2 linked regions of the Oryzias latipes genome follow. The protein of the gene in region 1 interacts with the protein of each later gene in a pairwise test. Links are inferred from orthologs where the notes say so. Each region holds a gene or a part of one and is shown in the gene's direction. Other genes may lie near its edges.

What was found.
Region 2: the proteins of pex13 (region 1) and pex14 interact in a two-hybrid assay, tested with the Homo sapiens proteins (2 studies listed by BioGRID and IntAct, with this or other methods). The link is inferred for Oryzias latipes from reciprocal best matches to the Homo sapiens genes PEX13 and PEX14.

The regions. Positions count from the first base shown.
Region 1 is NC_019873.2:7,361,582-7,366,187, forward strand, and holds pex13 (peroxisome biogenesis factor 13), read left to right. Parts: upstream 1-1,543; 5' UTR 1,544-1,640; coding exon 1,641-1,714; intron 1,715-2,213; coding exon 2,214-2,938; intron 2,939-3,152; coding exon 3,153-3,275; intron 3,276-3,366; coding exon 3,367-3,713; 3' UTR 3,714-4,188; downstream 4,189-4,606. UniProt on the Homo sapiens protein: Component of the PEX13-PEX14 docking complex, a translocon channel that specifically mediates the import of peroxisomal cargo proteins bound to PEX5 receptor.
Region 2 is NC_019865.2:9,549,073-9,552,891, forward strand, and holds part of pex14 (peroxisomal membrane protein PEX14), read left to right. Parts: intron 1-1,418; coding exon 1,419-1,544; intron 1,545-3,819. UniProt on the Homo sapiens protein: Component of the PEX13-PEX14 docking complex, a translocon channel that specifically mediates the import of peroxisomal cargo proteins bound to PEX5 receptor.

The DNA.
Region 1 (4,606 bases):
TATTGGCTGCCAGTTTCAGACATTGTTTCTTCGCTGTTATATGGATAGAAATAGAGCTTCATTCAGCTTTATGTGCACATTTTTTCATGCATATCAGACAAGATAAAACATGTGAGTCTCACATTTGCTGCTGGCCGGTTGCTTCAAGGCTTACTCCTGATGTTTCTTCAGGTTATTGAGTCATGCAGCACAAACGATATTTTTATATATGATGTTTTACAGTCAGGAAGGGACTCTTGGTTTGCTTTGCTACCACTTTTCGATTGAGTGGTAACTCAAGTCCAAAACCAGGTCACAACAGAAAAAAGCTTTTACAAAGCTCTTGCAAAGCATCGCAGGCAATCCCACCAAACCACTTTGTATCAGGTATCTTCAGAACTCTGGCATCTTCTCACCAGATGACACTTAGGATTCCCACCTTAATCTAGCAAACCAAATACCATGATGCCACAGATGACGGAGTCGGCCTCACACGCCCACACTGTGGGGATGACACAGAGCTCGTCTCTGATAGAATGCGAATCGACAGCTCTGCACGCGCTCCCCCACATCTCCTGCCTTCACACTTGACATCACAGAGACTCCCTCTTGAAACCACAGCTCACTTTGCACACACTGAGGCTCTTCAGAGCAGCCTTTTTCACCACTCCCCATCTCAGCTAGGGTTGACTGACGTTGGTTAGTGGGGGGGCAAAGAACTGACATCAGATTTTCACTGTTCGTCCAATGAAATACATGCATGTAATAAAGATCTGGATGCAGTTTTAAGCTTTTGTGATCAATTTAAAGACATTAAACACTTGATATGTAAGCATCCCTTCATGGCAGTTAAAAAAAACATGAACAATATTGAAGTTACTTTTGTGGACTAAACATAAGTTTCATACTGAAACTCCTCTTTCAATTTGTTGTTTTTATTACTAAATAGATCAAATAAATATAATGAACATTTTGAATATTGTTTTAAATATATAAAAATGTATTAAAGTCATTACATCGTTCATAAATTATTTATTAATATACATTATTTTGAGGTTCAAAATTTATGAGAGAAGAGTAATTGATTTTGTCATTACCCATCACTTTTCTGTTGATTCTTTGCGCCCTCTGGTGGACAAAGGTAAAATGAGATTTTCGGTGGATTAAAATGATCAGACAGTACTAATCGAGTTGATTTCATCGATACGCCCATATTTTGAATAATTTAAATAATAAAAAGCAAAAATTGTTTTAAAAAAATCTCTATACAAATTGAATAACATAGTAAGATTCAGAAGTCCCGAAGTGTTTAGACCGGTTTGGATTGATTTGTGGTACGAATATCAACTAGTCTTGCCTGACTTGCTGTTTTCGATTGCTAAAGTGGTACCTTCAATATAAATTGGAAATTCCAAAACGATAAAAGTAAACTACCTAGTAAGCTAGTGTTTCATTTGTTGAAATAACCATTATTGATCAGCCAAAGTAAAACATGTTACATGAAAAGCCACAAAAAAGAGAATAGAAACATACAAAAATATTACAAATCAAATCCCTTAGAATAAAGAAAAAAACAAGGAGTTCAGGAAGGCAACACGGCAAGTCACAGGAGGACATCTGTCATCACAGATATTTTTTAGCTAACCATCACAAACTTCGCGATGGATTCACAGCCCCCACTCAAACCGTGGGAAAGGCGAATTCCTGGGGGTATGAGCGCACCTATAAACTACAGGTAAATGAGATTCAGGAAGTTATTTGTAGGGTTATTAGTTGTTGTTTCGAAGTTTTCCTAGGTAGCCTAATGCTAACGTTGCTAAAGGAGCTACTGCTAAACAATTACAGAACAGAACGAAACACCATATGAAACGCTGGTTAAAGCTATTACTGATTTATAATCAGGATAGTTGTATCTAAGGTACACTAGTTAATTTCAAATATGTTTAAAATTCGTCTAATTGTTTTTAGACTGTGTTTTTAGACTTGTTTTAGTACTTGTTGCTACTAGTTTGCATAGTAGCCAGGCCCCCGTAGTTGCCAGATATTTGTTGCATTGCCTTAATAAACGCAAAAGTTTTGCTATGAATTTTTTGAAAGATATTATCTTTCTGTTTGATTTTTTAATAGTAGCAGTTTTAAATCCATTAAGAACGAAAAAGCAGAAAGTCTTGTTATTTTGCTCAGATTTCTTGGTTGTCCTGCTGGTTTAGCTCCATCACTTTCTTTACACACAGATCGACAGACTTTGGACCAATTGCAGGCTCCTCCATTCCTGCTGGCCCTCCAGTTCTGACCAGAATGGCTCCTCCAGTGCCTGCTCGCCCGCTCCAGCAGTCATACCGCCCATCCTATTCCTCTTTCACCTCCTCTTACAGCCCCTATGGAAGCTCCATCTATGGGGGTTACAGCCCTTACAGCTATGGCGGCGGTTATGGCGGTGGCTTCGGTGGCAGCTATGGTCCGGGAGGGTACAGTCGTTTACCCCACACAGAAGAAATCGCCCCCAGCCGGTTTGTGCAGCAGGCAGAGGAGAGCAGCCGTGGAGCCTTCCAGTCCATTGAAAGCATCGTCCAGGCTTTTGCTTCGGTTAGCATGATGCTGGACGCCACCTTCTCCGCCGTGTACAACAGTTTTCGTGCCGTGCTGGACGTAGCCAATCACCTAACAAGGCTGCGTGCTCACCTCACTAGAGTTTTGTCAGCCTTCGCTCTGGTGCGCACGCTGCGGTATCTCTACCAGCGTTTGCTGCGGCTGCTGGGGAGGAGGTCAGATGTGGAGGACTTGTGGGCTGACAGCACAAGTGATGCTGTGGTGGCGGGTTCCTCCAGGGGATATGAGGCAGGAATGGATGAACAGAGCGTGAAGTCCTGGCCTATTTTCCTCTTTTTTGCTGTGGTTCTGGGTGGACCTTACCTCATCTGGAAGTTGTTGAGCTCCAGCCCCAGCTCTGATGAAAATAGTAAGGCTGGCATTGAATCCTTAATTTTATTGGTTTATTTTTCCGTTTGTTTGAAGAATTTACAACAGAAGATCATAAAAACACCAAACCAATGACCACAGTGTGGAGTTGTCGATTAAAGTATTATTCATTTAATAATACTATTCAATTATCTTGATGTAATCGTGTTTCTTCTACTTGATGTGCTCAATAGAAATGTTGTTGTTTTTTTCAGGTACAAACTGGGCCAGCGGGGAAGACGATCATGTCGTGGCTCGGGCTGAGTATGATTTCTCAGCAGCTTCTGAAGAAGAAATTCCTTTGCGGGCTGGAGACATGCTAAACCTGGCCCCTAAAGGTGAGACCTTCCTCAAATGTGTCGTGATTAATTAAAGTATTCCATAAAACTGCCTTTATTAACAATTGGTATATTTAAATTCTGGTTGCAGAGCAGCAACCGCGGGTGCGAGGCTGGTTGCTGGCCAGTGTGGATGGCCAGACAATTGGACTGGTCCCAGCTAACTATGTGAAAGTCCTTGGCAAGAGGAGAGGCCGCAAGCACGCGGAGATGGAACGGCTCGCTGAGGTCCAGGAGGAGAACCAGCGGGCCTCTCAAACACCAGCAGCTGCGCATGGTTCCACTTCAGATCTCTCCACAGCCTCCATGGCTCCCTCGACAGACCACCTACTAGAATCAGTATACAGAGAAATCCCAGCTGCCTTCGCTCTGGGAACATCCAACTCCAGCATGAGCTCTGACACAGTGTTGAATATCCCTGAAAAGACGGACCTGTGACGACTGTGTGTGCATGTGTTGCATTTACATCGTCTGTCAGTCAGTTCAAGTTTATCATTTCACTAATCAATTCTTCTGTAGGTCTTTGATTTCATTCATCAGCACAGTTTTCCTCTTAAAGTAAAATGGCTCAGAATCGTTTTTGTGTGAGATGATGTGTACTACATCGTCTTTGTGTTCTGTGAAGTCCAATTATGGGATGCATTGATGTATGTTAATGGGAAATGTAAAAGGGTTGTTGATGTCATGATATACATGTGAGGTTTCACCCTCAGGTGAAGCCGGGTGGACATCTGTAGGTTGTTGTTTTTTTTTGGATCAAGTGAAATTTGATTCACTCAGAAATAAGAAAGACTAGCTTTGCACATTTTAAAGTTTGTTAGTCCAATGTAATTTTGTAAATACTTAAAATAATTATTTTGAAAATAAATCTAATGGATTATTTTTTGCAGTATTAATCTGCAACCAAAAAAAAGCACGTCTTATTTTATTATTTGTGTCGAAAAATGTTGCGTGCGTGCGTGTGGAAATGACAGCTCTGTTTGATGTACGACAGAAATTTTGGATTTACGGTTTTCGTTTCCAGGCAACAGGACGCCCTTGGCTGCTGCAGTGCGACATCGGGGGCGACTCCGCAGAAGAAGCGGCCAGCTTTATGTTTCATTTATTTGCATTTATATCTATTCTATTTTTTTAAAACCACAATTTGCTCTTATATCGATATATTTTCCTTTTAAGTGTTTGTTTTTTCGTGTGTCTAAAAACCCCAATACGGCCCGTAAAAGCTGAATATTTATGCCAGCTTTTTTAGACTAATGCTGCATTCGCAGAACATCGGAAATACTACATTTTCAAAAGCCCACTCAAAGCTCAATATGGTCCTATCAATATGA
Region 2 (3,819 bases), on another chromosome or scaffold:
CCTAAGACTCATGTGAAGTGAGGAATCTGGATGTGAAGTTTCACACCATAACTGAGGGAGCTGTGAGCTGAAGTGAGGTCCATGCTGTTTGGCAGATGTGGGTGTGTTCAAATAAATAGGCTAAACTACTATTTACTCCTCCCTCTCTGAGACTACTGCTGTCTCTCAGTATTTGGGCCAAGGTAATCAGTGACATATCATTTGATTTGCCATAACATGAGGCTTTTATACAAATGCGGCTTGTGTATGTAAAAAGTGGTTAATCCTCCTTAAGTTGAGTGGGTGAGGCTTGTAATCAGGTGTGCTCTATAGCCCGGTAATTACGGGTAGTTAAAGTGGAACTTAAAGCCAAAGACGATGTATATTTTAAGCCATATAGATTGGTGAGGGGAAGTATGACCAGCTTAATTTTAAAAGATTTAACTGAAAAGAATCTGAATTATTGGTTTTTCTATTGTTGAATAAAAAAGGAGGTTTTCTAAGTGACGTGTTTGAGAAGTACCCTTAAGGAACATATTCTGTAAAGATGAGGGACTTGCAGTGGTAAAGGTGTTGCGTGACTTTAGGCTTTTACTTTGATATGCACATCTGCCACACTTGGTTTAGGGTGAGAAAAAATGTGTGGAAAGTAGCTGTAGTAGCACCTGCAGTTAAGCTTTAGTTAGTGTTTGCTTCAACCACAGGGTCTTCACTTGGTTGAGGAGCATATTATTCAATTAAACAATTTTTAAATAAACTGATTGTATTTTATGTTGATGAGCCATAGTTGTTATTGTTTTCTTTGTTTAAAACCAGGATACTCATTAAAGAAGACCTACAGCAATGGAAGCATATGGTCCCAGAAATAAAAACCCTTTCTAGCCACAAAAGGAGATGTTCTTATTAGTTTTTTTTTCTCCTCCCCTCTGATTCTCCATCAGGGAGCCCTTTGCAATTTAATCATCACTAAAATCATTAAAAAGATCTGAAGATTAAATTATATTGGCATTTGCAAAATTATGTAATACATTTACATTACAATGAAGAAATTAAAATAATGCATTTTCGCTGTCTGGGGTGTATGAAATCTCCACTTGGGAAATATAACTGGAGAAGTGGACAGACCCTTATTTTCTTTGCCTTTGGTGGCAGTTAATAGGCTTGCAGAGTCTCAGATTTCATTGTATGAACTTTTCTGCTCTTTTGATGGATTTCATTGAAAGTCTCAGCGGTGTTTCTGAATTATGAAATGAAAAACGCATTTTTTTGGGTGGTGAGTTGGTGAAATTGAATTAGTTATACTTAAAATATTGGTTGGCAACTAGGGAAGTATTTAAAGTTGCTTAATTTGAAGTAAGGAGCCGTTTAGATTTTCATCTTTATAATCACACACTGCACGTGGTTTGAATGTGCGTAAGACGTCTGTTTGTGGGTTCCAGGCTTGACTGATGAGGAGATCGAGTTGGCCATCCAGCGCTCTGGTAGCACAGAGGAAGTTCTTCCTCAGAATCCTGTGGGGCTCCCACATCCTCCCTATACAACTCTGCTTGCTCCTGCACCACCCAGTGAGTACACACAGCTCTTTTTTCCCCCTAAACACTTGTTCTGTGAATACTTTTGATGTTCATGTGCATTTTCTTATTTAAAAAAAAGCTATTGAATAGAAATTGTTAACTACATTTGTTGCAGTTGATTTCCACTGGTCTTTGAGAGGTCTTCCCTACCATCTGTGTTAAGTAGGACTGTTAAAGGGATAAACCAAAAGGTTTTTGAATCTTATGATCTATCTCATGCAGCCTTGGTATCGTGATTTGCTAGTTTTTCTGAGTTCAGTCAGAGACTATTCTACAGTACAAGCTAAAAAAGGCAGTTTCTTGGAGTGCCACACTGGTAACATCCCACACCAAAACCTGTATCTTTATTACTTCAGGAAGTTGTGAGTGCTGTCCACTGATTTTCCAATGCAGAATGAAGTCTGCGTAATGTTTAACCCATATGACAATGATTCCAGATGTATTCCACCCTCATTTATTACCACACTGTCCTTGACTCCCTCAGCATCTCATGTTTTGTAATGAAAGTGATGTTGATGGGATGGCCATGTAGTTAGGAAGACTTGCAGCTCTCTGTCCATAGTGGGGGGTTTTATATCAAAACGGCTATAAGGGAGCTGCATAATGAGGTGAGAGCGGGGAGTCTTGTATGGGGGGTCATGCCAGAAAGAGGGGGCTACCTCCCTTTGATGTCCTTCTTATGGGTACGGTGCACAGGGACCCGCATCCATCTCTGTCGCAATAATGGATACTCTGATCTCTATTTCCACACAGTAGAAGGACAGGAAGGCCTCCACTGAACCCAATAAATTTGAGAGGAGATTGGAAAAACGGGGGATGGAGACCAGTTAAAAGTGACCAAATAAAAAAAGGAAGATGGCAATGTGGAACTGGTATAGAAAAGGGGAAAGATAGTGGAAGAATGAAAGGTCTGAGAGGAGGGGTAAAAGAGCAAGTGAAAAGCCCTGGTGATGCAGTAAGACATGTTCAGGGTCAACCACCCATTCCAAGGACTCCCAGGCCCTTCAGGTGCATGGTATTCTGGGATAGGTGACAGTCTATCCCAGCTGCAGTTTTGATGAAAACGCAAATTTATGTGGTTATCATGTGGATGCTGAGAGTGATTCAAAATTTTGACTGGAAAGGTTACAGGTTCAGTGAATGCTGCACCAGCAGTAAAACATACCCTTGAAGAAAGAAAAACCAAAACGGCATTCACCTTGAAATGATGCTGCATAGTCCAATATGAATGGGTCTCTCATTTTATTTGCATGTTAAATCAGAAGTTGTAAAGGGCTCTAGATCAATGTCGTTGACTTACTCCAAGCCCCTGAACACATCAAGTTAAAGTTAAAAGTTAACCTTTTAATCTGGCATCAGCAGAGTTCAAAAATACATATTTCCTGTAGACATTTCTTTGGGGGGTGGACAGGAGCACAGACTCGCGATCCCCCAAAGGGGAGTGGGAAAGAGGAACAACACATGAATCGCACTGTACCAAACAGAGGCATGAAGAGCTAAATAAATGATCAAGAATAGAAGAGAGTAAAAGGAGATGAGAATAGAGGACAGAACCCCAGTGCACCATACTTTCTCAAGCTTCTAACTTCTAGCAGCCTACTAGCAACTAATTGTTATTGTAAATTCAAATAAATTGAAATGGGATTCAAACATGTTAGTAGTAAGTTGCATGCATTATGGCACATATAGCAGATGGTAATAATAATGACAATAATAGAAAATCTACATTTTTAGCATAACAATATTAATACAATATAGTATTAATCTAAGCAGGGGGAATGGGCTGCCCAGGCCCGGTTTATGAAACAATCTTCCCTCTGCTTGGATCTGTGGAAGAAATATGTGTAATGGATGTAATGAACATTATAAATATTACCCCAAACTTTCTTACAGTAGGTGAGGTAGGGGGAGCAATATATTAAATATTCTCGGATTACTAGTCTGGCAATAAGCCTGTCCAAAGAGGAATTTTTTAAGACTAACTTTGAATGTAGAAAACTGTGTCGGCTTCGCTTACATGAGCTGGGAGCTTAGTGGTGGTTAAAGGCTCTACCTCCAACTGTACCTTTTACAAATTCTGGGAACCACTGTGAAAGAAGCATTCTGTTTGGTTGGTAAGGCACTATGAGATCTCTAATGTAGGTTATTAAATGGAATTATTGATAACACTATCTGTCTGGAGGAAAGATAAGGATGTTTTATTTGGACAGTATTACTTATACACAGAGGGAAATCAGAGTGTTTTACTAAAATAAGGAGTTGCAGG